Drosophila melanogaster: one gene and its partners. The protein of the gene in region 3 purifies or fractionates together with the protein of the main gene of each other region. This does not show direct contact. Each region holds a gene or a part of one and is shown on either strand. Other genes may lie near its edges. The genes, in order: Sans, Mlc-c and ck.

Region 1 (11,034 bases), on a different chromosome or scaffold from region 3:
TGGTCGCTGAGCGAATACAGAGCATCGTTTGCACCGCCTGGATGCAATGCAGTTGGCACAGTAGTAGCGTCTAATGGAGGTTTACAAAATATCGATGAATCCCCGAAATCCGTGAAAACCAAATGAACAGGCCATTACTCACTTGCAGTCGAAGCAAGCACGCTTGCGACGGAACACCGTGAATTCCACACCGCAACTTTCGCAGGGCATCGTGGTCGTTGGACACTGGCCAGCTGCTCCTATCGACCGTGTCCTTGCACTGAATCCTTGCCCTTCCTGGCGATTACACCCCTTCCGCCTGCTCACGCCCACTGTGCTGGCATTGCGTTTGTTTTTCAATGTCAACGCCGTGAATCACTGGATAAAGAATGCCCTGCACACGGCTATCATTTCCACCTGGTGGGGATTTGTTCAAGAGCGCGGAGGTGCACTCAACACTTAATCATACCCAGCTGACTGCGTTTGCGATGATTTTTATAATTTTATCAGGCCAACCAAAATAGCAATTTAATGTACTAGTCTCACGGTTGCATGGAGGCATTCCTATCGGTCCAATCTGCAGATATGAATATCGATAGGCCATGCAATTGGCGGTTGATTTGAATACATCCCCCCATTTTAAAGCAACTATTATGTTAAGTTAATTTACTGGTATATCAAACTAAATACGCCATGCCATAATTAACAAATCCAATTAAGCAGTTTAATCTTTTAGTTGGTTTTATTTAATTCACATCCACTACTTACAGTTAAGTATGTAATTGTATGCATTTAAATAGTTAAGTGCCATAAAATGTTGCAATTTTGTTTAAAATAATACATCAATTAATTGCTAAATATTATACGGTCTACCTTCTGCTCCGCCTTCAAGTCAATTAGTTATATACACATGTGGTTTCCGATGATTGAGCTTTTCCAAAATTCTTGTCGATAAGTCTTTAATTACATAAACAAATGCGTCCGTTGTTGCTCCGGCCAGAATGTTGGCCAGCCATAATAAGAGCTGGCTAATGATGGCAGTTGGAGAGTCCGTCCTCAAGCAGCGCCAGCACCGCATCGTTCGTTTTCAGTGGCCACGGGTGTTTAAAGTTTTCTACTTTCACAGGGGATCTTAAGCAGCAGCTAGAGAGAGCGAGTGGTCAGTATAGATGAAAATGTACATTCTTTAATTTCTATTGGCGAGTTGAATGTTGCTTGGCCCTGAAGAGACTGGAGACTGGCTACTATGACACAAGACCCGGATCCTCGGCCTTCACGTGGCTCTGTAGGGGATCGTCGTTGTTGTTGTCATCGTCGTGGATGCCCGAGGAAACCAGCGCCCGGCTTTTCTCGTAGTCGACAAAGTCGTCGAAGAGGCTGGGCCACGCTTCGGTATCATCGTAATTTTGTATATCACATTGTTCCGTAAAATTGAGGTACATGTTCCATGTATCCTTCGGTATGCGGCGAATATTCGGGTGCTTTTCGAGGAAGTGTATCCAGTTGGAGAAGAGATCAGGTGTTTGTACAGTGAACACAAGTTTCCACAGGTCAATAGCCATCTCCAGAGAGAGGACGCGCTGATCGGGCTCCAGACCAAATCTGAAATTTGAGACGCTAATTAGGTACTGATCTTCCAAGCAGTAAGAACGGCATACCGGAATGTAAAGCGGTATAACTGCTTGAACATCTCGGCGTCCGCCTTGAGCATCTCGATTGTCTGCTCCAGCCGCACCCGGATACTGTCTATTGTGTCCGCCCTCATCTTATGCAGACCCTCAATGAACTCCACCTTGGTGAAGCGGCACATCTGCGAGGCATCCAGGCACCAGGCCAAGACGAGAATTGCGAACTCATCGGGCTGATAGTTGAGGTCATTGCATAGTCGCTCGATGCCGTCCGTGAGTATCATCTCCTCGTCGTCGGGATCTTTGTACACATCGAATAGTTTGCTCAGCGTTTGGTGCGATACCTCCATCGATTCCTGGACAGCTATTAGAATATAGAAAATCGAATGAGTATGCCGCCAAGGCAGTCGAATGAACGCTGACTCACCAGTTGTTATGATATCGCTCATGGTGGGCGCACTGCCATTAAGCAAACCTAAAGACTTAAAACTATTACGCTTAGTATCACAATTGTTTGCTTTTGCTGGCTTGAGTGGAGTTCGGCTAGAGAGCAGTTCATCGGTTTCTAGAGTGCATAAGCCGGAATAAGAGAGGTTTCTTAGACTTTGGATCACAATGCGGTTATTAACTATAGAATACCCACCTAAGGCGCAGCGCTCGTTGGCATTGGGATTAATGCCCACCGATTCGTAGCAATTTGCAAGGCTGGTGGCCGTCTGGCAGGCGTTGGAATTGGAATTGTGTGAATTGGGGGACGAGGCGTTCGTTGGCATCGATTGTTCGGCGGCAGACTGGAAGCATTTCAGGCAATTGCCCATAGTGCGGGCGTGCTTGGTGCACCACCAGGTCCTACTCCTCCCCCGTGCTCCGCCTGCAGTTGCTTGCTTAACGGGAGCACTCGATGGCTTCCAGTTTCGTTTTGGCTGAGACACTGTGATTTGTCAAGGGGCGTGCAATTGCAATTGAGGTCTGCTGGTCGTATAGCTTCTGGGAAATTTATTAACTATGCATTGGCACTGCGATTCCCTCCTCTGGCATATGGTAGTGGCTATTCCGATTCCGATTCCAAGTACGTCCTGTGCGAGTACAAACAAGTACGATTCCGATTCCGATTCTTTGTTGTCACTGCGATTGCTGTTGTTATTTTGGTGCCTCCTACGCAAACGCACACTCACGCGTATACACATACATGTGCAGGTTGCAACTGCAGCATTTGGTGCCACCAAATCGCGCTCGTCTCTCTCTATTGATGGTTTTCATTCACATTTTCAGTTCACCGTGCTCCAGCGCGTGTTTAACTACAATTTTTTACAATATTTTTAATTTGATTTATCTCGCTTTTTCACTTGTCTTGTTTTTTTCTGGCAATCGGACCAGGGCGGCACTAGTCAACCAGGGCTGCAGTGCTCTACGTTAGTTGATGCGATAGTCGTAGCAACTTCAGTCTGGCAACACCCTATCGTCGAAGAGAGTCACAGTAGGACATACAAGTTGATTCCGCACAGTAGTTCACACCTTAAATATTTTCGTACAAATTATTCTATATTCAAATACGATTATTGAACCAATACGTTCAATACAATGTTTTTATTAATTTATATTCTTTATATTACTTTATTGGTTAAGAAATTTAAAACAAAACATTAGCATACATAATTTTTCCCATTAAAATATTTAGTTGCCGTCTAAGCAGCATCTATCATTTTCTCGACCACTGTGCGTAATGTGAGCGCCGAGTTTGAGCAAAGCTAACAATTTCATTCAACAACATGCAGTCGGAGCGGTAGAAAGTGCTTCCGGGTAACGGCTTTCGGAACGTGCATATTCTACCGATCGCAGATGAAAACTTTCGGTTCGTTTGGCTAAAAAGAAAAGTGTCAAGCTGCCCGGAGTGGGAAAATCCAATTTGAAATCCTGCATTTGAAAAGTCGTCTTGAACCGGGACAACTAACTGGTAATAAGTGAGTGTGTGTACCCGTGGTAAATAAGTAAATGGTTGACTGTCTCGATTTTCGGTTGTTTTGGGCAATTCGAAAACCAGCCAACAAGGTTGAGTGAACTTGGTAGTTGGTCGTTGGTATGTAAGCCAAACTCCGTCGTGCGCAGTAAATGGGTAATGTTTTCTTGTGTGCGTGTGTCGTGGGCCTGTGATTCTTCGCGGCGGCTACACTTTTCTTTTTCTTTTTTGGATTATTAATTCGAAACGTGTGAACGTTAGTACAAGTGCTGGGAAAAAGGGCAATATGCTTAGGCTTAGGAATTTGGCTCATCTTCGGGCTTATTTTAATTGGCCAGCCCCACACAATAAGCACATTAAAAAGTGGAGTAAGACAAGAAGTACGAAAACCCCGTCTACATTTGGTACCAGTAACACCAAAACGGAAATCAGTCGATCTGATACATACATTGTACATATGTATATGCATATATAGGGATCCAAACCTAACATCACCACATCTAAAATGAGAAAACCGTAAACTAAAATGATTTATATCTTTTTTTACTCTAAATATAACAATACACACACCGTTCCAATCATTAAGTATACATTATTTCAGCGCTGAGCGGAAGATTCTTGGGTATGTTGAGCATATTTTCGAAGTAGCTGGACAGCTCTTCGAAATTAACTTCGTCGGGGCTTTGAGTCGGAGCTTCTGTGCCTCCATTAGAGAAAATATCATCACATTGACAGGTCAGGTAGACTGTATCGGGATCCGTTGGGATCGATTTAGCCAGATCCTGTAGTTTGTCCACCCTTGGGACCGTCAAGTTTATGGCGTTTCCGTAACCACAAATATTTTCACACTCGCTCATCATGGTTTTAAGATCGTAGGCATTGCCAGAAACCTTTCCAGTCGCAATCTTTGCCCAATTAGATTCCTTCTCTTCGTCGGTGTCTCGAATTTTGTGAGCCCAATCCACTCCTTCGGCACGAATTCTTTTAAAGGGATGTTCAATTATTGACTTTCGAAGAAGAAACTTTTGCTTCAGTGTATGCTTCGGAATTCGTAGATCTTCGAATTTGTTGGAATCCAAAGTTGCCTCTATTGCAGATTTATCGAAAGTTGTTGCTTCGATTGGATTGTCAGATATTATCATCTTACGCAGCTCGGAGGAGATTTTTTCTATAGACATGCTTTTTAATTGTAAAGAATTGTTGGCGCTTATGTGTGTGACCTAATTTTGAGAATCTTGAGATGTGTGATGGAAAGGAATGGCAAGTATAATGAACAGCCTACTCATCTCGCCTTGGATTCCTTTCAGATCGATTCAAGAATTTCCATCGCCAACCTGATTGAAAGATAACACAGACGAATATGTCATCGGATCGGTTTCACAAGTGGGTACATGCAATTAATTTGACTCTATCTTATCACCAATGGTGATGCACAAGAGACTCATTAACTTTCTGGTACAATCGTTTCCGTTTAGAGCCGCCAAAGATGGGCTGTTGGATGTGTTGGCAGCAGCCACACGGAAGGATACGAATGCCAAGGACAGTGATTCCATGACGCCGGTCATGTGGGCTGCCTTCGAGGGGCGTCTGGATGCACTGCGTCTGCTGTGCGGAAGGGGGTACGCATTCGTTTAAATGATAATTCTATATCCACTGAAGATAATCCTTTCCTCTCCCTTCAGTGGTGACCCTGACAAATGCGATCAGTTCGGAAACACAGCCTTGCACTTGGCCTCCGCCAAGGGTCATTTGCATTGCGTCGACTTCTTGGTGAAATTCGGAGTAAACATCTATGCCTTGGATATCGATAAGCACAGCGCCAAGGATCTGGCGGCTATTAATGGCAGGGACGAGATCCTGCGCTACTTGGATGTTGCCTTCACAAACTTTGAGGCCACTGAAAAGTAAGTTTATGAAATATCTGCCACTTGCTTGCATTTTTGTTTGCATAATTTATTTTTTGTATATATTAAAACTAATACTTCAACTAACAGAAAAAAAAGCAAGGCCCTGAAAGAATTGGCCGAGAAAAACTGCGAGAAACGTGTTAGGGAGTACATGAAGCGCCAGAATCAGCAGCAACAGCGCCAGGATCCGGAGTATTCGGATCTAAGCGCACCCAGTGGCTCCAGCAAGACCGGCAACATGCTGTCCACTCTGAAGCAGAAGATCTGGTCCAGCCAGGGCAATCTAAATAAGACACCAAGGGATACACCGCCTCCCACAAAGTTCAGCGATCTGGTTGGGAACGGTAGCAGCAGCAGCGGTGGCTCCACAATAGCCAGTCGAGCGGGAACGGTGCAAAAGAGACCGTCGCAGCTCCAAAAGCAGCACAGCAGCACATGTCCACACTCGAAGATATCCAGCGACACAGACGGTGGCTTCAAGGTGCGCGAGGTGGAGCCAGATGGAAAGCGAACCATTACATCGCTTACGGGTCTGCAGAGAGACTCCGAGGTGCTGTATGTGGGCACCTTTAGTTCCAACGAGGACAGTGTCGGCAAGCGCGGCAAGATCAGCGATGTTTTTGAGTGCATGGAGGCCGATGAGTTGGACCACAGCGATAACCGCAGTGGCTATAGCTCTACTTTAGCGCGTTCCTTCTCCCAACCGGATATTCTGGGGGATGGTCAGTTGACCCAGGAACTAAGCGAGGAAGTGACCCTCCAGAGACCCGTTGGACTCTTCGATAGACCCACCATGCTGGGCAGCATTGCCTTTCGTCGATCCGTAACTGCTGCTTTAAGTCAGCTTCAACTGCACACGGACACCAGTTCCACTTCCACGATGCGGAATGCGGGCAGCAATCCTCCAAAGACACGAAATGGCGGAGGAAAGGGTCGTTTATATTTGAACCTTTCGGATGATACGGACTCGGAGGGCGGCGGTCATGACATCTATAGCGATGATGACGACGACGACCGAGATGCCGGAGGAAGTGCCTTGCAGCGATTCCTGGCCGTTTGGGCCCTGGAAGAATACCTGCCAGTGTGAGTAACAAAACCAAATTTGTCTGGAATGTATGTGTATTCAACTCGTATCCTCCTTTACCATTTCAGATTTCAGAAGCAAGAGATCGACTTGGAGACTCTGATGCTGCTCACAGAATCGGACCTTAAGTCACTTGGCTTGCCACTGGGGCCATTCCGTAAACTCACCTTCGCCATTCAGGAGAGACGTAACGCCCTGGCCAATCCCGGACCCCTGGTAGACAGTCGACTGTAGTAGTTGGCCTAATCATTCTATTTTTTTTGTAATACTTCAACATGTTCAATTAGCCTAGTGTACATACTAAATTAAAGCCTAACAATTATCACTCCAGTTCGCTGTGTTAGCCCGACACCTGTTGCATCAGATAGAGATTGGCGTAGATTTTGTTCAGTGCCATCAACTCATCGTGGGTGCCGTGCTCCACTACCACGCCGCGTTTTAGCACACAGATGAGATCCGCATTCCGCACGGTGGTCAGACGATGCGCAATCGTCAGGCATGTGCGGCCTGATCTCGCCTCATCCAGCGCCTGTTGCACCACCTTCTCGCTCTCCAAGTCCAGCGCAGAGGTGGCCTCGTCCAGGATGAGTATCTTCGGGTTTCTAACCAGGGCTCGAGCGATGGCGATGCGCTGCTTCTGACCTCCAGAGAGCTGCGATGTCTTGCCCAGTCGGGTGTCGTAGCCTTGGGGCAAAGCACTTATAAAGTTGTGGATATTCGACTTCTTGGCCGCCTCAATAATCTCCTGCATGGACACATCGTCACGGAAATTGTTGCCATAAGCTATGTTCTCGGCAATGGTGCGATCGAAGAGCACGGGTTCCTGCGAGACCAGGCCCAGCTTGGAGCGCAGTGTGTCCAACGGGAATTCCGTGCTCGGCACTCCGCTCAGATTCACGGATCCCGATACGGGATCGTAGTAGCGAAGCAGCAGTTGCACGCAGGTGGACTTGCCGGAACCAGATGGACCCACCAGAGCAACCGTCGTCGATTTCTTGATGGTGAGATTTAGGCCCTGCAGAATGGGAGTGCCCTTCCTGGTGGGATATTCGAAGCCCACGTTTTCATAGACAATGTCTCCCTCGGATTTCTAAAAAAAAACAATCAAATTTGAGTTTCCAACATAATGTACGGTTTCGATTGGCGAAATGTTGACTTACCTCAACTGTATTGTAGGGACTCTGTGGCGGATTGGGCTGCGTTGAGGTGCGCTTGAAGAGATCCATTAGGCGTCCGGCGGACAGAATAGCATCGTTTACATTTGGCGCGTAGGCCAGGGCCTGTCCCAACATCCAGGAGCCAAAGATCAGAGCCTCGGCCACCTTGATGATGTCCTCATAGTTCATTCGCTCCTCTGCCACCAGAATACCACCATAGTACATGGAGATGCCGTAAGCCAGGAAAGGAGCCGCCTGTCCCAAAGCGAAAACCAGACCACGGAAGCGAACCTTACGCCTGCAGGCGATATCCACGCGATCGATCTGCTGAACGTATTGATCCAAGACCTGGCGCTCTAGGCAAAGACCATTGACCGTTCGGATATTGGTAATAGCTTCGACTGCCACTTGAGAAGCCTCCTCGATCGACGCCTTAGCCTTCTGGGCGCTCTTCATGATAAAACGGCCCTCCAAGTAGACGGACAAACAGACCAGGGGCAGGGTGACCAGTGTGAGGAGCGTCTGTTGCCAGGAGAAAACGAAACCGACGACCATTCCAACCACAAGAGTGGCCACGGCCTGGAGCATTGTGCCCACACGAGCTCCGGTTGCCTGGAATAAGGAAAAAGCGTTAGATATTTAAACATATATAGTAAAAAGCAGTAGCTTGGAATAGCAGTGCTTCTGCATGGTTACCCTCAATCTTGAAACTTACACCCTGAACGTTGGAACAATCGCTGGCCAGCCGGGAGCACAGTGCTCCCACTGAATTTCGCTCGTCATCGAAGTAGGCAATATCCTGACCAATAATCGTTCCAAAAGCCCTTTTACGCAATCGCGTTGTCATCTTCACGCCGGCCGTTGTGAACATGTAGGTCTGGAGCATGTTGCCCAATCCGGCCATCAAGCCAATGCCCACAAAGATCATGGAGATTTTCAGGACCTCGGCTCGCACAACGTCATCGTCACCGTCCGAGAGGATTCCAAAGAAGTCGCCAAAGAAGAGACCCCAAAGCGGGAATGTGGCGCCATGCATTACGGATGCAATGCCTCCGACGACAATGAAACGCCACTCCGGAGAATTAAGCTTCATTAGTTGAGTGAAGGACACCTTGGATACCACTTCCTTGTCCTTCTTCTTCTTGCGACGCTGCGAGCGACCTGTTAATTATTTGAATTGGATTTTAAAGTTAATATATATAATATAGTGCACGATTTTATAGAACTTTTAATTTTGCATTTGTTTTTATTACTTATTTTCTTTACTTAATATCGAATTTAAGTCTTGGTACTTGGGTTAGTAAAAGCATTAAATATTCCAACTTCTGGTACTTACGCTTGCGTCGCGTGCTGGCTCTGAATCCGCTGTCCCTGGAGCTGCCCGAAGTCTGCAGCTCCGGCTCTTCGTCCTCCTCTTCATCTTCCTCGTCATCATCGGTTTCCTCGTCAGACAGGTTCTGCGACTTCTGCAGAGGTCGCCCGGCAACCGCTCCCTCGTCCGCCTCCGTGGCCTCCTTCCGCTGGGTGATGCTCACCAGTTCGCAGTAGAGACCACGTCGCTCCATGAGCTCCTCGTGCGTACCCTGCTCCGCCACTACACCGTCCTTGAGGAAGACAATCTTGTCGGCATTGGTGATGGTGGACAGTCGGTGGGCCACAACTAGAGTGGTTGGTCCCTGGCTGGCCAGTTCTAGGGCACTTTGCACCCGCTTCTCAGAGGTGGGATCCAGGGCAGAGGTGGCCTCGTCGAGAAGAAGCACTTGGGGCTGTCGAACCAAAGCCCGGGCAATGGCAATCCGCTGCTTCTGGCCACCAGAAATCTGAGCGCCCTTCTCGCCCACCTGGGTGTCGTAGCCCTTGGGTAGGCGAGTGATGAAATCATGACAGTTGGCCGCTCGCGCCGCCTTCTCTATATCCGCCTGAGTGGCCGATGGTCTTCCGTATCGGATATTCTCGCCAATGGTGGTGGCGAAGAGAACCGGTTCCTGGCCCACCACTCCGATCTGCGAACGCAACCAGCCCACATTCAGTGTTCGAAGATCCCGTCCATCCAGTTTGACACTGCCCGCTTCGGGGTCGTAGAACCGCTGCATCAGTTGGATGAGGGTGCTCTTGCCACACCCAGATGCGCCCACGAAGGCCACCGTCTGACCCGGAAGCACATCGACGGTCAGACCCTTGAGGATCTCCACATCCGGACGGGCGGGGTAACGGAAGCGTATGCCCTCGAAACGAATGTGTCCAGCGGTATTCTCCGGCCTGTTTCCCTTCTCGTCCATTGGATCCACCTGCGACGGACGATCGATGATGTTGAACAGGGTCTGGCCAGCTGCCGTGGCCACAGCAATGGCTTCCACGTGTGGAGAGGCAAAACCGAGATTCTGGGCACCCATGATCACGGCGAACAGGACAATGACCAGAACGGCCGGAGTATAAACGCGATCGGGAAGATCACGCTCGTCCAGAATGAGCGTCACACCATACCAGATGGCAAGAGCCATGCACAGGTAGATGATCAGCCAGGACAGTGCGTTTCCCATGCCCGAGTATAGACCCTTCTTGCGACCCGTATTCTCTGCGGGAATGAGCAGCTTGCCAAAGCGTTCCTTTTCCTTCTCCTGACCACTGAATGCGAACACTGTGCGAATTCCACTGAATACCTCCTCGACCACGTTGGCTGCATCGGAGTAGGACTTCAGCTCCTTCTCGGCCAGCGATCCCTGGAGTCGAGCCACCACACTGGTGGCTGCAATGATGAAGGGCACACAACTCAGAACGACCAGGGTGAGCTTCCATCCGTAGACGAAAGCAGACACTATTCCAATCACAAAGGTCATGATCAGGAATACCACAATCACTATTTTCTCGCCAATGCCTTCCTTCAGTTTGTCCAGGTCTCTGCAAATTCCAAAGAAAAAAATCGAGGAGTTATAAAAATACTCTAAAGTCTTTAGAATTTAATTCTAGAATTAAAAGGAATTTGAATAAATACATTGTAAAATTCGCACAAAAAAAGTTCACGTCACTGGCATGAGATATTTAATTTATTTAAAAACTTTCAGGTGGCTTCCTAAAATTGTCTGGGAATCGCGATAGTGATAAATTGTTTCAATCATATTTAAACCATATTGATGTTAATAAGTCCGATTGCTACTATGATTGCGTAATTTTCTAGCTCTGCTAATGAATATTCAATTGATATGGTTTTTATAATTTGTTTAATGCAATAAGATTCGGATTATACGCTTATTAATAATTATATTATTTGAGACGAAACTCACTCTGTCATTTTGCTGGCGAAGTTGGAGCCCGAACTGGTGTC
Region 2 (9,357 bases), on a different chromosome or scaffold from region 3:
GCACCAGCGCATGGAACTGCAGCACCATCTCCACCAGTAGCAGCATCATCTTGGCCCTCGTCCATGGCGACGACAGAGTCAGCAGCATTACCGTCGTCCATTTCTTCCAGATTATTGGGATTCTCGACGTTTCTACGTGATTTCGAAAAAAAAAAAAAAAATGAAAGTCATGCCAATACGAATTAATGTCAATGTCCAAAAAAAAAAAAAAAAAAACTTTTTAAGGTTAGAGTTAAAATGGCGGCAAGGAGGACTCACGTGTTCTTGGTCATGCTACTGGGCGTCACTGGAGTCAAAAGCTTATGCAAGCAGTCGGTCATTTCGTTAAAGTGCGCCTTGTGGCACTTGATCTCCTTCATTTTCTTCTCAATCTTCTCGGTCTTCTTACCAAGCGGCTTCAGCATTCCGTTCTTCTTCTTGTTGTTCTTCTTATTGTTCTTGTTGTTCTTCTTGCCATTCTCCCGGCCATCGTTTCTATCCGAATCGTTTGCCATTTTCGCTTTGATCAAATCGAAATAAAACCGCAAAACAAATTCAATTCACAACAACTTTGTGTTCGAAACAATTTGGGGCAGCGCACAATGTAACTTTTTGTTTCACAAAAAGCAAAAAACAAAAAAAAAAAACAGAACGCGCACAAAAATCAGAAAAAATATTCCGAAAAATATTCAGGAGCACAATCAGTAAATTCGACTAGCCTCTATGAACTCGAAACGAAAGTGATTTTGGCTAGTGCCTTGCGCTTACAGGAAAACTCGGTGCTTGCTAATCGTTAGGAAAAATGTGCTACAGCGAATTACACGCCTGCCCCGTTAAAAAAAAAGCGAAAAAAAAACGAGCAAAAAAAAAAAATAACGAGCGAGCAAATAAGTTTGTCAAGTTAATACACATAGGTATTTGAATTTGTATTTGTATATATGTATAATAAATATCCTTTTTTTTATTGTGACGCATATTTAATTAGCGCAAAAATATTTCGAAAAATCGCTAAATTCGTTTTTTTCTACTGGTTGATTTGTTTTTTTTTTCATATAAATGTTTGTATAAAAATCATCGATTTTGATCTTAGGCTAAAGTTTTTTTTTTTGGTGGAAGTTAAGGATTCGCTTCGAAAGAGACAGGTGGGCACAGACGCGATTCGCTTGGCCGTGCTCCTCTAATTGATGATAAAGTTAGTTATTGGCTTGGTATGGGCAGCATGGTATGATGACCTCGTCCTCAGGATGTGGCGAATATAGTCTTGCAGTGGGTGATGAGCGAGGAGAGCATAAAGATCTCCTCCGTCAGGTTGGTCATGTGCTGGGGCGTGGCAATCAGGGTCGGCGCAAATACGGTGGCCAGATTGTGCTCGTTCATCTTGTTAACGGCGTAGTGGGAGGCCACCCTGCGGGCAGAAGGTTTTTTTTTTTACTTAAGATCGCATTGACCATGCTGGCAGTCACACTCACCGCTTCAGGTGCTCCAGCATGTACTGCAGACAGCTGTGGTGGGCGGGCGGCAGGCGACGCACTGCCTCCGCCATGAGCTGGCGCTGCTCGGCCTGCTTGCCGGTGCCTGCAACAGATCAAAATAGATAGAGAGATAGATAGATGTGAATGGCATGGGATGAGGTGCAGCATAGCACCATAAAACTCACGTCCTGCTGCCATAAAGCTGGGATACGCCTGGAATGTGATGAGCGGCACGGGCAGTAGGCGCAGGTAGAGCTTCAGTGTGCCGGCGATCACATTCACATTGCCATACGCCGTCTCCGACATGTCCGTCTTCTCGCCCTCGCGATCCAGGGCGAGTTTGAGTGCCTCGATCTCATCGGCAAAGCCGGAGACCCGATAGATACCCTCCTGCAGCATGCCCCGGGCCTCCACCTCCTCCACGCAGCGGCGCACCACGAAGGGTATCTGGTGGTGGGGCTCCAGCTGCACCATCGTGGTCAGATCCGTGCCAAATACGCCGCGTATGCGCTTCAGATCCGGCACACACTTGGGCGGCACCAGTTCGGAGCACTTGCTGTGCGCCACAAAGCCGCACGCCTCACACTTGACGCCCTGGGCGGTGAATCCCCACAAGAAGTTGGCGCAGAACTCGCACCAATTGAGCCCCTTAAACGTGTGCACCTGTTTGGATCAGAATCTTCCATTAGATGCTATGATCCTTTATAGTTGGCTTCTTATGTCTGAACACACACCTTGAAGTGATGCGGCTTCTCGTAGACCAGCGGCATGGGATCCACGGCTGGAGGCGGTGGCTCCTCCTGCTTCTGCTCCTTCTCCTCGGCTGGCGATTCCTTCGATTCCTTGGCGGCGGCCTTGCCCAGCTCATTGGACAGAGCCCTAAGTTTCCGGCCATTTAAGGTCATGTATGGGCTTTGCTGGTAGCAGTTCTTGGTCTGCTGGTTAATCTGCTGGATGATGGGACTGGCGTGGAGCTGCATGTGAAAGTTGATCAGCCCGTCGGCGACCATGTCGTGCACCGTGTCGAAGCGCTTGTCCTGGCCGCGCAGATAGTGTCCCACGCCGGGCTTATAGAGGAGCTTGTAGTGCTTGGGTCGCTTGTTGAAGCGCAGGCTAAGCGTGTAGTAGCCATCGGATTGGGGGCTCCGGCGTACAAAGTAGCTGCCGTCGCGGGCATTGGCCAGCAGCTGCTCCGCCTCCAGGTGGCCCATCAGGCCATGGTACTCGGAGCCGTATAGCCTGCCCGCCAAGTTATTGGCCTCCACGGCCTCAGCCGTGCTTTTCGCCGGCGGAAGGGGCAGTGTTCGCTGGCAGCGCAGTGGACATGGAGCCGGTGCCTCCAGCTGCAGTTTGTACACTGTGCGTGGGCGGGTAAATGGGTAAGGGGATGGTTAGTCATATCATAAGCTTGTGGGTGGCATACGAGGTGCTTCTCCACTCACATTCCGGCTTCCAAACCTTCTGAACCGGAGAACTGGGCTCGGGGGCACCGCCTACTCCGCCGGATCCACCGGTATTCGCATTTCCGGCGCCCGCCTCCGTGTTCCGGGGCATCCTCCCTCGGATTAGCAGGCCACTTGGTCAAAAGCCACTAAGTAGGCGGCGAATAATTAAGGAATGCAGCCAATTAAGTAAAGTATACAAATAATTTTGTCCGAGCGAGCAGAGCTGCCAGACTGGCGAAAATTAGCGCGGTATTAAAGTCGGAAGAATACTAAATTTAAATGACTATAACTTTAGATAAACTTTATAGTAAGCTTATTGAATTTATTGATAGCTAAACTACATTATATTGTTTTGTAAATACTGTAGTATGCAGTGGTTCTCACTTAATAATCAGTTTAAAAATGTCCGAAAGCTCAGAGCACAAGAGCTCGCAAAAAATACCACAAACAATTTGCTTAATTTCAGTTAAGTTTCCTAAATATTTCAAAAATTTGCATCAGTCGTAATTTTAAGCAGCCATTTATTTGATTGCCATCCGCTTTCAACAAGAAATAAAAACAAGAGCTAAGGTTTCAATTGGTTTAATAGTTTAAGTACGTTTCTTTTGTAAAAAGACCTACACATTCATTGGATCTCATTTCATTATTTATTAAATACAAATATTAAATTATTTAAAAAAAAATAAACATGTAAAACTTCAAAATGCGCATTTAAATACGGACACACGCCACCGACGCATATCAGCTTTAATTTAGAAATACTTTTTCGTGATACTCTGGCTTTCCTTCCTTCCATTGAAGTATACTATGGTAATTCATATATATATATATATAAATGTATCGAGTGTGATTGGTACAAAAGAACGACTGCACTAGTTGATAATTACTGATTAACCTTCTAGTGTCAATTTTAGAATAATACGCACATTCACAGACGCGGTAATTAGTTATGGTTAATCATGAATCTATGTCTACATCGTTGGTTAATTTTGGAAGTGGGAATAGCTCCAATCTCGTAGTTTTAGTTTTTAGTTTTCAGTTATTAGCTGCTTGTGTTAAGCACTTTCCCCTGTATTTGTTATATCTCGATATCCTTGGTCGTTGTCCTTGGTTTTGAATGCTTTAATGCCGGGGTAAGAATGGCTAAGTTGGAATCACGGAGTTGGAACTTCTGGCGGAATGAACGGCTCATCTATGTGTAGCTTGGCAGGTGTGTTTAGTGTTGGTGTGTTGTATTGTGTTGGATATAGCGTTGCTTCTATTGTCGTGTCGCTGGACAGTTGAACAGCTAGAATCGGTCTGATCCTAACCGCTCATGACCATGCGCACGAACTCCTCGTAGTTGATGTTGCCCTGCTGGTCCTCCATGTTGGCCAGCAGCTGCTCGACCTCCTCGTCGGTGAGCTTCTCGCCCAGCGTGGTCAGCAGGTGGCGCAGCTCGGCGGAGGAGATATAACCGCTGGCGTCCTTGTCGAAGTGACGCAGTCCTTCGATGAAATCATCAGCCGTATCGCCCGAGCGGGCCTTGGAGATCGCCTGATAGATGGGCAGGAACACCTCGAACGAGATGCGCTCGTCGGGCTTCAGCTGGTGGGTGCACTTCTTGACATCCGACTCGGTGGGGTTCTGGCCCAGGGCCCTCAGACACTCGCCCACCTGGCTCAGCTGAATTTTGCCATCTCCGCGGTTGTCGAACAGGTTGAAGGCCTCCTGGAATTCTGCGAATGGAAAGTGCGTGCTGATTGTTGGCAGATGCTTTACAAATCTTAATTATTATCGTTACAACTTACAAGAACCCTTCGATAAGGGATATAATATATAATACCTACATAACTACTACATATAAACGTATGGAAATGTGAGGGGGAACTATAGCTTTCTACCACCCACTAAATGGCTAAATGGATCACCTTCCAGTGTGGTAAAGGTTTGCTTCACATGCGCCGTATAGTAATACATATTGAACCACTCCGATGACCGTTTTGCCAGCTACTGACTGCCTGAAACTCCGCCTGCCCGGATTTGGCTGGCCATCGGATCGAAGCGGATCGGATCGGCTCCGATGCAAGCCACCACTCCGCCTTCCTTGGCCATGGTATACCCTCACGTCGCTGGCAAACTTCGTTTCTCTACCGGGAACTGCCTGCTTGCAAGTAAGATAAACAACCCAGAAATCCTAAGTTTCAAAGTTTTTCGTTTCGAGGCGTGACATCGCAAGTCCATTTCGCGTGCAGTTGGATTTAAGCAAGTGATGGTGTAAGTTAACCAAGCTGCAAAAGTTCTGCGATCTACGTGCGTAAATAGAACATTGTGGTTGGGCTCAATATTTTGTTTTCAGATCCTCTAAAGATCTGAGCACTAGAGTGTTCACCATTCGATGAATTGCTGGGATGTGTTCGGTTATCATGCGAATACGAGATCCAAAAATGGCAATAAAAACAAACGAATCCAGCACATTTTTGTCCATTTTAGGCAATGACAAAACGTCGACGGCTGGCTAAAGATTGCAACAAGGTAAGTTGGAATTGGAAAATAAATATATGGTATATGGCTCGTACATAGGCATATGCGGTTGAACGCTGACGTCAGAGTGTCACGAATCCAGCATGACGGAATTATCAGAGACCATTGACTTTGATTAGGTTAAACGAGGGGATTGCGTAAAGATTCGATTCGATTTGATTCGCCATGGAATCGAAATCGTGTTGCATTTTTACTTAGAGAGAAGGTGATGTTCCGTAAATGGAAGCTGGTTTTTTTTTTTTTTGTCAACTGACTGGCTTCTTATCGCATGGCTATTCGGTTTTTGCAACTGCAATTGCAGTTTTATTTGAAACGAGCAGCCGGCGAGTCAGAAAACCGGGTGATTATCCCATTAGACCGCTCTGTTATCTATATTTTATCGCTCACTTCCTTTCGCTTAAACAGTGTTTTTTTTTTTTTTTTGTACTCATACCGAGGTGTTGGTTATGATTATAAGCGACCAGTTTCTGTCTTACAATAACTGCTCTTATGATGACCTACAAACTTGGTTTACACTAGCTTAAGACTAGCACTAGCTTGTTGGCAGAAACTAACTAGCTGATGGTCGAATAAGTTTGTTGCCTGCTATGCATATTATCAATTAACTTGGTGTGGGTTTCGGATAACCGAAAGAACTCGGATTTATCAAGAGATATTAATGCGAAACTTGGTACACAGCCGTGTGTCGCTATTCTATGAAGCTATTCCTTGGACGAACATAATCTGCTGATCAAAGCCCAAAAGTAGCACAGTTTCGATATGTGTTGTCAGCTTGATCTCGGATGTCTTTCGAAGTCATCACGTCAAACTTTGCCTACAGCTGCTCTTAATTAAAGCATTTTGGACAGGGTATTGCAGTGTTTCGGTTTTGGGACTTTCTCGCCGCTTTTTAGGTGAGTCACGATCGTATTCGTATGGCTGCCGTCTGCCTTCCAGCGTATTTGCTTTATCAATGATTCATGCACACCACACAAATGTACGTGCCATCGCTTTCCCGCATTCCAATGCTGTGTGGGAGTGGGAGGGAGAGGGCGCTAGGTGCCAGCGCACATATCAATACTATACACATATATATATCTGTATATATATATATATGCGATTTGCCCGACTTTTGACTCCTGGTACTTGACCCCGTCTGGTCCTCGTGCGATTCAACTCACCAGCCAACTGATCCTCGGTATAAGCTGCCTGCGGGGAGAGAGAGAGGGGAAAGAAAGGAAAACAATGAAGGAAACTTGAGTGCTGGCTTCCAAAGGCGCCGGAAAGCGCACTTCCAGTGCGATCGTAAACAGTAAACAGCGCCGCAATAAACAGCCTGCACTCACCATATCGATTTGTTTTTAGCTATCTGAGGGAAAACAACACAAAATACACGAAATATTGAATATTGAATTCGACGTCGAAACAAAACGCAAGCAAATTCTGAAACGTTGTTGGTGTTAGTGGTCGCCGATAGTGGGCGCAATCGATAGGCCACTCGAAATTCGATAGGTGCGACAACATCGATGAGTGCAGGGAGTTTAGTGAAATCGAGCAGTGCTGCCAGATCGTTTCACAAGAAACCGCCACACGTGCCGCCGATTTGTTTTGATTTTGGATGCATTGGATCCTGGCCAAATTAGTTAGTCCCCGATGAGCACACAGAAGGTGGAGTACGACGCTGCGTTGGGCGGCCGGGTCACACTGCCGTCGCACGTGACCACGTACCATTATGCGGCCGAGGCGCTGCAGGAGATTCGCAATTTGGTGGCCGACTGCCAGGAGACGACGCAGCGGAGCAGCAAGCTAATCTTCCAGACGCTGCCCAAGCACATGCGCCGCCGCGCCATGTCGCACCATCCCAAGCGACTGCCGCGCAAGTACCGACAGGCGCACAAGTCCCAAATGGGCAAAAGCGGCAACCAGCCGGTGAATGGGAAACGACCATCGAGGAAGTACCGCCGGAGACCCAAGAATCTGATGCGTGAGTACGTGCGCCGGCAGAGGCGGCACGTCTGGCTGGAGACGCACATCTGGCACGCGAAGCGATTCCACATGGTTGACCGCTGGGGCCACCGGTTGCCCTACGCCAGCTGCGACAAGACCTACCGCGCTTGCTATCGCGCCAGCGCCGAGCACTGCCTGCTGCAGGACATCTCGTTCTATGGTTGCGTGGAGTTGCGGGGACCCTTGGACATGCTACGCGAGGGATTCGCCCGGCTAACAAGTCCGCAGTGTGGCCTTGGGATCACGGCCCGGACTTTTCTGAGCGGACGACGTGAGGGCAGCGTGGAGTTATTTGAGGATGGCCGCTATCCGTATGGAGCCCTGCAGCGGGCCAGTTTTATGTGGCGGCCACGGCGGGAGGAGGAGGATGAGAAACAGACGAATCACACGCTCTGGCTGTGGCTACATCCCAGTGGCGCTCAAGCTGTTCTAAATCAGCTTATAAGCGTGTTCCAGCTGAAATCCACAAGGCAACAAAAGCTGCCTTTAAACGAGGCTGTGACTGAGGAAAAGATGGATGTGGATAAGATTGAGCCAGTCGAGTTGTCCAAGGAAACATCGCCTGGCAAGAAAAACTCGAAGAAGAAGCCTGAACAGAGGCCCCTGCGCTTCTGGACAAAAACGAAAGCATTCGATCCACAGCCTAGCTACTTCAATTCCGACGGCACTCTCCACTTGGTACTGCTGCAGCGGGAGTTTAATCGTTTCCGTTTGACAGGGCCTAGAGCCCAAAAAGTTCTTTTTGCCAGCTTACGTCCGCATCGAGAAGAGGAGCTCCAGGATAAAGCCAACTACTGTCAGGCAGCCTTGCAGCTGAGCTCGCCCGCCGAACTGCTGTCCAATCTGGTGATGGCCCACCTTGTAGTGGATCCGCGCCTGCAGCGGCCCAAGAAGCGTACGAAAGCAGTCGGCAAAATGGAACAGCCACCATTATCCGCCGGCGATCTTCTCATGAATCAGCCAAAGAGTCTGCCGGAGAGTCCTCTGTGGAGCAAGAAGGCGAGAGAGCGGCTGGCCAAAGGCATTATGTCCGCGCACAAGTACGACCAGCTGCGAGAACAACATGCCGTTGTGCCAGGAGCTCCATGTGCCTTCGAACAGCAAATGCAGGCGCTTCCCGTGATACTTATTCAAAGACCAGGATCTCAGGACCCCAGATACAAGAGATTGGGCTACGGCTGCGGCTGGGATGTGATTGCACCGGCAGGATACGGCATGACCCTCTGGCTAACACTCACCATGTGGGGCGCCAGACCCGGCGGATTGAGGGAACTGGATTCGGTGGCTAGGGAGGCAGGTGCCGAAATACATCTGCCAGATACATTAGCGGGTAAAAAGTGTTTTATACTCTGGCGTATTCTATATTCCCTTAATCATCTCACTTTGCATCTGTTTAGGAGTTCAAAGAGCTGCTGCTTCGGCGGATGAGCTCCGTGCCCGGTATTTCCGTATGCCGCCCAATAAGCGTACCAATTACCGAAAGTTGGCCGTGGTCAGTCCGTTTACTGCACCCTGGAGGCATCTAGTGCGCGACTGGCGTGCATCATTCAGTTCTGCGAGCGAGGGATCATCGTTCTATGTGCTGCGGCATCGCCAGCAGCTGGAGGAGATTGTCGAGAGTATTCGACATCGTAGCCCACTGCCACAGACTCTGCCCGACGACGCCATCATACAGATTCAACTTCAATTGCTATCCCGTGGCCATGTGAAGGACAACGCCCTGATTTGCTTGCCCACGGCGGCGGATCACAAGAAGCGCTGGCGACAGCTAAAGCACAACGACCAGGCCCCCGTTCACGTGGAGCCAACGCAACCGGACCTGAATGAACAGTTGCGCAAGGAGCTACGCCAGAGTCACAAGCTAAAGCTGAAGCGATTGCGATCGAGAAGGGTGCGTGAGAAGCGGCGCCTTCAGGAGACTGCCACCAAACGTGTCCACATACGGCCAGCGA
Region 3 (10,029 bases):
GTTTCCATTAGTTGAAGGCATTTACTCACTTGTAATCAGCAGCCATGCCAAGATCGAGACGACTCTTCTCATCTGCCGACAGTCCGGCCAAAATGCAGTAAAAGACATGATAATTTCGTTCGCTATGATTTTGGGAAACAATTCGCGACTTCTCCAGCAGGTACTGTTCTATTTTGGCTCCCTCGATCACGCCATTGGCGCTAAAGTGTATATCTATGTATTTGCCAAAACTGCAAAGAAATTCATTTGATTATTAACCGATCATGTGGTGAAGATTCTATGGATTCATTATTTACCGCGATGAATTATCATTTCGAATGGTTTTGGCATTTCCGAAAGCTTCCAAAATGGGATTCGCTTCAAGGATTTGCTGTTCGATCCATGAGTGTTTGCCACTAATCGCAGCCAGATACTGCAGGATCAACTTTGTGCTCTCCGTCTTTCCAGCTCCAGACTCTCCGGAAATAACGATACACTGATCCTGGCGATATCGTTTCATATGCGCATACGCATTGTCGCCAATTGCAAAGATATGCGGCGGTAGCTCACCGATTTTCCGCTCCTTATAGAGCTTGATCTGATCACCTGTGTAGATGGGCAGAATCTGGTAGGGATTAACGGCAACAAGTATGGAGCCCGTGTAAGTCTGAAATTATAAAAGTTATAAGCGTTCAATATCATATATATCATATAACATATTTAAGTTTATAGAAAGATAACGGCTGCCGCCGAATTGATTACTTTATTCTTTCAATTTCTTATAATTGGAGCACGATAAGAAATTGAAAATCACTTAATATTAAATAGGTAAAGATGACGCAACATAATTGAATGTTAACGAGCTAATTTCCTTATGTTTACCTTCAATGTTTTTAAGAAACATGTTTCCTTCTAGTGATTAACTTTAAATTGGTATAGGGGCAATCCATTAAAGTGCCTTTCTTTTGAATTCTATGTATTATAAAGATCAACTTACGTATATCAGATTCTCCTTGTAGCGGATGAGCAGATTCCGCAAGATGCCAGCCTCGTGCAGATCACCCAGGGATATCATGTCCTCCACACCCTGAACGGAGGACGCGTGCATGGCCTTGATGCGGCGCTCGGGTGCCAGCCACACCTCGTCGCCATCGTCATCGCGCACCTGGATGCGACGACCCTCGGCGGAGACGACACGTGCTCCAATGGCCACATCGAATTCTCGCCCAGATGCGGGCTCTATCCAGATGTAGTCACCCTGTCGATTAGAGGCGCAATTACAAATTTCCGATTTTTAACCATTTTACGATTTTACAATTTGACATTCAGTTCTTTACGAGGCAGCCGCATTCGGTTGCCATGGACATGGGTGCCATAAAGACTATGGGCTGTTTGTTGTAAGAGTCACTTGAGCGGAACGCAACAAATATAGTAATACCAGGGACAGAAATGGGCAGTGCACAGTGATGGGCGGAATTGGATGAATATGCAAAGGTTTTACGTAAAAACCTTATAGAGAAGGTCTAGAACAAGGAAGTTATTATAACACTAATAGCTAGCCAATTATCATAGAACAATTTAAGTCAGTTAGAATGTTATTTAATGAAATAAGATTGTAGATCTGAATGCGTATAAGATTAGTTAGATTAGTTAAAAAACTAAACTATGCAAAAATAAAGTACTTTGATAAGACTGCAATGAAAATATATATATATTTGAAAAATACCATCAACCTGTTGCTTTGCCCCATTCAAATATTCCCAGCCACCACTGTTCGTAGAGCAATGGTAGTTGAAGTGAGCCATGGCGTGGAACTTCCGCTTTTTTGCTTCTGTTAGCTGGTGCTCATGGGGCGGGGAAAGGTGAGATAGATGGAGTGGCTCGATAAGAGGAGTGATACCTCCACTGCGGGGGCTAATGGTGAGTGAAATACTTACACGTGTTACGATCACCATGTTCGTCGTCCTTCATTTACTGATCCTGTGTTGGCATCCAGGGACAATGGCCCGTTCCTTTTCGCTGCTGCCGCTTGGGTTATATTCTTCTCTGCCGAAAGAGAGAACAAGTGGAAGAGTTGGCCATGAGCAACAATAACAAAATACGAGTTAGCGCCTGCGGCAACAAAAACCGGCTTCGAATAGTAGAAAAAATTAAGGTGAAGTTTACGGTAAATTGAAAGAATTCACAACTTGTCGCTGTCTTCGTTTGTGGTCCGTCGTCTTCTTTTTGTTGTTCTTGCTATCAAATCGCTTTCCTAGCTCGAGGTAAACGTCTTTCTTTCCTCGATTTGGCCAACACACTCCAGCCAACAGCCAGCAAAAGTGGCAACTCATTAACAACACAAAATCAACAGCGAATTAGTCATCAGGCTTAAATGCATTCATAAAACTCATACTTTCGATACTTCTTTTCTTCTTAAACTAAGGGAAAACAGCCCGATCCAAACGAATTGATACGTGACCGAAAATCCTATAAAAAAAGTAAATAAACCTTTACACCTTTAGACATGCAAAAAAGGCCATCCAACTATTTTCACTTTTTGAGCTTCGGTCGCTTCAAACAATCAGTTTTGGCCACAAGAACCAACCGAAAAAGAGGGTCTAACCGAAATCGAAGGTCTCAATGAGCTGCGTTTGTTATGCAAATTGCTTGGTTTTCATTGAAAAAATTTACTTTCATTACTTTGTACGGCCTGGCAGTAGCTAAACAATGTTTTCGATTTAAGGCGATAGAAAACTAAACCATCTTCAATTAGATATTTACGAAAAGAAATTAGAAATGTGTTGCGCCACTGACAGGTTATCGTTGGTGAAAATTCCACCTTTAAATATGATCTTTAGAACTAAAGAAAATAAACATTGCAATTATAGTAACCAGTTTTAGCACCGGATTACAAGTGAGCAAATGAGCGCTGATTACAGAGTCCGATTACAACCATAATTCTTTAGTTTAATCATTTAATCTAGAGAATTCCGGAAAAACTCATCTAATCAACATGTAGATCGGCTTTTTTAAGCGAACTACTTAATTTCCGAAACCAGTCATGAATCAGAGTTTCAAGCTGGCGTCATTTCCCAGTCGGTTGCCATCGAAGCCGCCTTTCAATTGGACACCCCATCCATCATTTAGCACATGGACTAACGGCTGCCTCCGCACAGGTATAGTATAGTGTGGCATGGTATCAGCCGTAGTGTAGTTACTCATTGGGAGGCGTCTCTCCTCTCCACGGTAATTGCAACATGCCAGACAAAAAAAAAAATAAAGCAGCAACAGCTACGGAGCAACCAAATTTAGTGGCACACGGCGGCACGTATACTCGTACACATACCAGTCTGGTTACGCTCTGCCGGTCAAAATACGAGTCTAGTGCACATAGGGAACCCATCTATCCGCGATCCACACTCGAACCACAACCATATAGCGACCTCAATTGTCGGCTGGAGTTCAAACATTTAACTAAGACATACATACATGTATTAAGTAATATTGCTCAATACTCGTTGTCCTGTTATCAGCACCCAATTTAATAGTTTAATGCCCTCATTGTCATCTAAATCCCCTCTTTCCGCAAGTACTTAACTGTAGAACGCGGAAAAGGTTTCATTTATTGGGAACTCTATTTGTATCTTAAGGATTGCTTTTTAGGTAAACGTATCTATATTCGTATTTTAATCTTTTTTTGGTACTCAATCCACAACTGTTTTCAAATTGAAGAGAGCACTTAGACTAAGCACAGTCATGACTGAATTATTTAAAAACGATTGCCTAATTGCCGTACCTGCTGTTATCAGAATTTCCCTGCAGTGCAAGTAGCGATAAGAAGCGAAACATCAAACAAGGTGTAAATCGAGGTGTGAGGCAGACATTTGTATCTCTGGGCATGACCAAAAACGATTAAAAAACTTATAGAATCGAGCAAAGAGCGTCTAAGAATTTCCGGCTCTGCAGATTTAGCATCGAATGGTAGTGATAGTGGACTCAGTGACGAACGATTGGCACGTATCTAAGTGCATATATATGGTAACCATATGTATGTATATGTACTGCATGTATATATGTCTATAAGTAAGAGAGTGCGTTTTTAGTGAGTGATCCAAAAGTTCATCGAGAGTCATTAGTGAAAGTTCGTGTGTGGCAGCCACGTACAATTACGGTTTATGCCATCTACTCTACACTACATACAGACACTCGGCCATATATTATCTATAAACATATGTACATATAAAAGTATGTATGGCGTTCATACCAATTGTTTAATACAACCACTTTTTGTTCACTTTGACTTTGACACTTGACATCATGTTGTTGTCATCTTTGAGCAATTTGTGGCATAAAAACATTTCCTATCTGAAAAATTCATATTCGTCTTATTTTACAAAAAATGCAATAATAATCCTATAAGGTTTCACTTTACTTATACGTTAATTGGAGCACTTTAGTTAAACCCATATTGTTTTATTGGTCACTTGAATTATAGCTCTCAAGATAATATGGCTAATAATAAATCCGTAGTAAAGTCTATGGAATGCGAACGATTCTTAAATTTAAGAGCAAATGCACTTTTTCAATTCATTTGAACATTTATAATATTACTTATTTTACAAAAATATTGATTATATGTTGCCTTTAGACCTTTTCAAATTTAAATTATAAAGTGTTTGTTATTAATGTGAACTTGTAAATGATTTAAATTTAAAAAACACCGTTAGTTGTAGAATTTTTTTTTAACTTTTTCCATAATTACTAGCATTGCTAACAAAATTCTTTTTCGCAAAACTTCGTTTGTTGTTCACACAATTTGCTTCTGGTTTAACAACTGAAATCTTCTACAAAATTTAACGACTCACCAGCGACAACAACAAAAATAAAAAATGGGCAAAGTATTATGTTCATTTTTTTTTTATTATGTATTTAGAGAAGACCTTAAAAAAGTTTCACCAAACAAACAGAAAGTCGCTGCGTGCGCGAAAGCCCCCAGCAACAACAAAAACAAAAACAGCCCAACAACCCAAATGGAAACGCAAAAAAAAGGTTGAGATGGGAGAGAAGAAACAAAAACCGGCTAATGAAAAGCGTTTATTTGAAAAAGGGTTTTCCAATTGTCCACACACGAAATGTCCCGTTGTGCAACAGCAAAAACAACAAACCGGACAAACAAGTGTGCCTGCGTTTTTGTTGTTATTGTCAATTTCAGAACTCTTGACCGCTGAACTGCAAGAAAAAGCAGACGCTTCATGATCGATTTGTATTTATGCAAATTTATGTAAATGGGATATACAAATATTTAACTTGAATGTTTGAAATTTATAAACAATTAATGATAGTACACTCTGATTAGATTAGATTTACACAGTAAAAGTATTTCATATATGTATATTTTTCATAATCATAATGATAGATTATAAAAAAAAACGTTTTCAACTGATTAATAAAACACACTTAGTCACTGTTTTAAGGTTTACGCACGTAATTCCATAAAAGACTATTCAAATCATTTTAAATTGACATCGTTTATTTCTCAGTGTGGAAGCCTGGTTCAAGCTCAAGGAGAATGAGAGGGAGAGAGCGCACTGTCGAGAGCGGGTGGGAAAGGTACGTGGCAGAGGGGGAGACGGTAGCAGCACCCTTGAATGTGTTGCACTGTGAGCCGCTCTTTACGCATCTCTCCCTCTCGCTCGCTCTGCAGCTCCTCGGCAGGTGTACCTGTCCGTGTGTGCGTGCGAGAGAGCGGGGCTGCGCTTGTAGTGTGCATGTTAGTACCGTTCTAGCCAACGAAACCTGAAGCGTAGCTATTTAATTTGGTCACTCGCCTAAAGCAATAAAAATGCAATGCAGCCACGTCTCCGTCTGGAAATGCAATAAAATCGATGATGTTACACTGAACCGATGCTGTGACCCTTGTCATTTTCCCCACTGGCTTTTCTAGCCACAAACAGACACACATTTACACAGACCGCTTGGCAGGGTTAATGCACTCTTTTCTTTTAGTTTCGTTTCATTTCTTTTCTTTTTTCCAATCACTCTCTACCTTAATTGCCGCCTCAGAATTTTGCACTCTCCGCTTTTCGGTCACCGAATTCGAATTCTAATTGGAATCGCTCTCGCCACGACCGTTTAATTAACACTTTTCCAGACCCGTCGAAAGCGGGATGTTCTTTTTCAAAAACAGGTTACATAAATAGGTCACGCACCAGCAGTCGCAGGAATAGAGCAGCGCGCCGAAAGTCCGCTTTTCCAGCACAGTTAAGCCGAGCAACAGGTGGATTACAGACCACTGATCATTTTGGGGCTGTGCGATTTGTTTATTGTTTTTCTTTTCGCCGAGAAGACAAGACTTGAAGCGAAAAATAACAACCGATAAACTGATCAATAAGAGTGACCAGGTGGTGGGGCCAGTTGCGAATGGCCTAAAAAATGCGCGGATTACTAATCGTGGTATGCTAACGAGTTAACATTACAGTTCATTTGAAAACCGCTTATATGGTCACATTGCCGCGTAAGCAGTCCGATCGATAGACTTCCGATAGCATCGATAAAAATAAGCATTACTTACCCAAATTTATCGACCTGCCTAATTTCGGCGCGCATTTCAAAATATCTGTCATAAGCTATTGCATTTTTCAAGAAATATCTTTTTTCTATGTCAATATATTAAACATGTCGTCATATTAGCTCATTGAAGCGGTTTGTTGATTACCTAATTATTTATACGAACTGCGATAAGTAGTAATTAAAATCTAATTATGCCCCATCAGTAATTATATTTTTGGAAACCAGTACTCCACCATCGCGTAGAGTGGTCATTACATCCAGACTATTTGCCCTGATGAAGTACCTCTTGTGGATCAGCTTACTTTTCATTGGAGAATCCCATGGATACGTGCGCCTCACGAACCTCAAGTGCGAAAGCTATGACAAATCATTCGTCGTCTTTCCCGAATGCCGACTAAAAGTGCTTGGCAGGGGAATTATCGGAGCCAACATACACGTTAAGCTTCTGAAACTGCCAATAAATAGGATGGTCGTGAGATTCATCACTTACCGGAAGCTAAACGGATACCATCCGTTTCTATTTAATGTTTCCGAGGAACACTGTCGCGTCCTAAGGTATCCAAATCGTCTCAGAGTCTTCTACTATTTCTACACCGCCTTTATGCCCTTTTCCAATATTAATCATACATGTCCCTATAATGTAAGTATTTAGTTTCGCCAATATGACAATCATATTAAATCATATTAAAATATATATTTTAAGGATGATATTTACATAAGGAACTGCACCTTGGATGATCGTATGTTTGCCAAGGTCCCATTACCAAAGGGTAGCTATAAGTTAACCCTCGAAATGGATGATGGTGTCGTGAACTGGATTTCCATCATAAACATCCACTTTGAAATTGACGTTGACTAAGATGAACAAAACATTAGAACACCTAATGGATCTAACACAACGAACACATATTTATTTTGCGTTAATGTTTTAATTATTCCTATGCCCGCTATATGATATAGTTGTCCGATCTGGCCCGTTCCGACTTCTATACTTAATGCAATACAAAGTTCGTTAATGCAAATTGCTTTAAAACTGACTAATTACATCGGTTGTTAATACTCTTCGAGAATACATACACAATATGGCGTCTTATTTACTTCTCTGCTAGATCATTCTGAGTTATATTTATAATGTATTCATATTTACTTTGCTCAATGCTCAATTTATCGCCCCGCTGTGTTATCGGCGAGTTATCAGCAGCGTGGTCGTTATCACCGGCGTTTTTAAAAAACTGATTGCGGCAACAAGACGTCTCCGTTTTATCAATAGTTAATGTTTATTGAAATTTCTTTTCTCTCGTTTAAGGTTTAGGTGGTCAGAGTAAACGCCTCCGCAGTTGGGCAGCAGATACAAAATGTTTTCTCGCGTGTCGTGTCTTTACAATGTTTCATTTAAGAATATGAAGGATGTGTGGTGTGTGCTCATTTGGGATTGATTTATATTTTGGAACAATTTTGGGAGTTAGCAGAACTTCCATCGGTTGCCGCACTCGTTGCACATGACGAAGGTGGTCATAGGTTCATCGGCGGAACGAGTCTGCAGCTGGTTGTAGGTGCAGTTGCGCTTCTTGCACTTGGCGCACTTGAGGAGATCGGTCTTGGTGCCCTGCACGGTGGCCAGCTGGGCATCGTTGATGGCCTCCTTGACGAACTTCTCGCGCAGCTTCTTCATCTCATCGCTGGCCATCTCCTCCGGCGTCATTTTGGCCAGCTGCTTGGCAGTGACGGCGCCGCACATAAAGTTGCCTCGCAATCCAGGATTTTTGGGGTCCTTCAGATTGGCCACGCGTGACCTAATGCGATTCTTGTACTTCATATCCGTGTTATTGAACTCGGAGTAAATGGCATCCTCCAGTTCGGCGGCCATTTCCTCCGGCTCACCGCATCCTTCGGGCACTTCACCAATCTTCAGTGCGGTGGCCAGCATTTCGCGGCATTTGATGCGGACCGCATCTGTCATGCCGCCGGAGGGAAACGAGGTCTGTGACGAGGATGTCGAGCCTTTCTTCTCTTTATCCTTGGATGAGCTGGATGAACTGGACTTATCCTTGCCGGAGATTGACGACGACGACTTGGCGGCACTGGTGGACTTCGAGGCACTGCTGTTGTTGGAGGAGCCCTCCTTAGCGGAGCTGTTGTTCGGTGTGGTTGGCGCCGGGCTGGCGAGGAATCGTTTCCAGTTCTTGATCAGCGTCTTGGCCAGAGCGATCACCTCGTCGTCCTTGCTACTCTTGCGCAGCTCGTTTACGGTCATGCCGATGCGCGTTTTGGTCAGAATGTCGAGATTGATGTTAAGCGTTTGCAGGGCCTTCAGCAGGTCCAGAGCCTGATCCTGTCCCTGTACGGTGGATATATGTATATTTGTGACATGATGCGCGGCACGTTAGCTAATCCCGATACTTACTGTGCCGTCGCTGGCCATCTTGCTCATCTTCTTTTGGATTCGAAACACTTCCTCCTCCACGCTCATTTTGGCCCACTTAATTTGATCAGAGGTTAGGTTAACTGGCGTCGGCTGTCGGCTTTAATCGGTGCTGCGGGTCTGCGACAGTTGTTTATGCGGAAGCCGGGCTATTTCTTTTTTTCCCTCCAATAAATGTTGTTTACTATTTTTTTCGTTTCTGTATTCGCAGAACGAGTTGACAGAACACCCTAACGCGTTTTAGTGTTACCGGGCGGTGGCTTGTCAAGAAATGCCTTCCCATGGCTAATACAATTCCCAACTGGAAGTAGTTTGGGTTTCAGAAGTCAACAGTGTTACCGTATTTTAATGTACATCTGGCTTTTAAGCGAGTACACACACATAGCATTGCGATGTTTTTTAAACTTGCACTGCTTGCAAGCAGGGCTCCACTGTATTTCAATGAAAGAACAGCGTGTTGGGCGTTTTTGAATTATACTAATTACCTTCAATAACAATTCCCTATATATCACTTAGTTTTAATAAATAAATCGTTTGAGTGTGGTCTAGAGATGATGTATTATGATGAAGTGCGGTTGTTGGGGACAAGCGGGATACGTCTGCGGGTCAAATCGGCGGTGGGACATAGTGAGAGGGCAACGGCTCCAAAACCAAGCGTTGCGAACAATCACCAACGCGCCCTGGTACGCGAGAAATGTTGATATCGCACATGACCTCAGCATCCACCTTCAGTTTGAGAACAAATTAAATCAGGCACATACCAGACAACCAGGAGAACACTGAGGAGGCGTCATCAAAGATATCTTTGGACACGTGGCATAAACAAGCCAAACTATTATCTAATCAATATTTTTATACAAATTTTGTATGTTTCCATGTTATCTTCGTTGCTCCTGTTAGTTACTACGTTTCATAGCCCTTAAATTGGTTGCTTAACGTAAAATAAAATTATATTGTATAAAAATAAAGAGGAATTCACCTATAACAAACGAAAAAGTAAATAAATAAGAACTTCCCCATGTTAAAAATGCCACCACCATCTTTACATATAAGTATGTACATATGAATGAATCACT

What was found.
Region 1: the proteins of ck (region 3) and Sans purify together in Drosophila melanogaster (affinity purification with western blotting, with the first as the bait; one study listed by BioGRID). This does not show direct contact.
Region 2: the proteins of ck (region 3) and Mlc-c purify together in Drosophila melanogaster (affinity purification with western blotting; one study listed by BioGRID). This does not show direct contact.

What each region holds. Positions count from the first base shown.
Region 1 is NT_033778.4:12,933,529-12,944,562, forward strand, and holds Sans (scaffold protein containing ankyrin repeats and SAM domain), read left to right. Parts: upstream 1-3,362; 5' UTR 3,363-3,561; exon of another isoform or gene 3,562-3,568; intron 3,569-4,087; exon of another isoform or gene 4,088-4,145; coding exon of another isoform or gene 4,146-4,742; exon of another isoform or gene 4,743-4,815; intron 4,816-4,871; 5' UTR 4,872-4,924; coding exon 4,925-4,947; intron 4,948-5,039; coding exon 5,040-5,183; intron 5,184-5,246; coding exon 5,247-5,468; intron 5,469-5,558; coding exon 5,559-6,554; intron 6,555-6,623; coding exon 6,624-6,789; 3' UTR 6,790-6,884; downstream 6,885-11,034. Other genes in the region: CG17019 (uncharacterized protein), read right to left, coding at 1-70, 143-210; SCCRO3 (squamous cell carcinoma-related oncogene 3), read right to left, coding at 1,224-1,581, 1,638-1,971, 2,035-2,172, 2,251-2,425; CG30487 (uncharacterized protein), read right to left, coding at 4,146-4,742; Mdr49 (multi drug resistance 49), read right to left, coding at 6,896-7,645, 7,716-8,324, 8,428-8,873, 9,049-10,610, 10,994-11,034.
Region 2 is NC_004354.4:5,615,673-5,625,029, forward strand, and holds Mlc-c (myosin light chain cytoplasmic), read right to left. Parts: upstream 4,904-9,357; 5' UTR 4,856-4,903; coding exon 4,807-4,855; intron 4,615-4,806; coding exon 4,202-4,614; 3' UTR 3,464-4,201; downstream 1-3,463. Other genes in the region: CG34434 (uncharacterized protein), read right to left, coding at 1-132, 259-494; RhoGAP5A (Rho GTPase activating protein at 5A), read right to left, coding at 1,219-1,384, 1,449-1,554, 1,637-2,114, 2,186-2,808, 2,894-3,005; POP1 ribonuclease P/MRP subunit, read left to right, coding at 7,052-8,735, 8,803-9,357.
Region 3 is NT_033779.5:15,051,498-15,061,526, forward strand, and holds the start of ck (crinkled), read right to left. Parts: upstream 6,366-10,029; 5' UTR 6,171-6,365; exon of another isoform or gene 6,008-6,170; intron 2,026-6,007; 5' UTR 1,935-2,025; coding exon 1,917-1,934; intron 1,238-1,916; coding exon 977-1,237; intron 647-976; coding exon 297-646; intron 231-296; coding exon 30-230; intron 1-29. Other genes in the region: CG33679 (uncharacterized protein), read left to right, coding at 6,806-7,171, 7,235-7,390; TfIIS (RNA polymerase II elongation factor), read right to left, coding at 7,994-8,869, 8,936-9,001. UniProt on the Drosophila melanogaster protein: Myosins are actin-based motor molecules with ATPase activity. Unconventional myosins serve in intracellular movements: can function in cells as a single-molecule cargo transporter.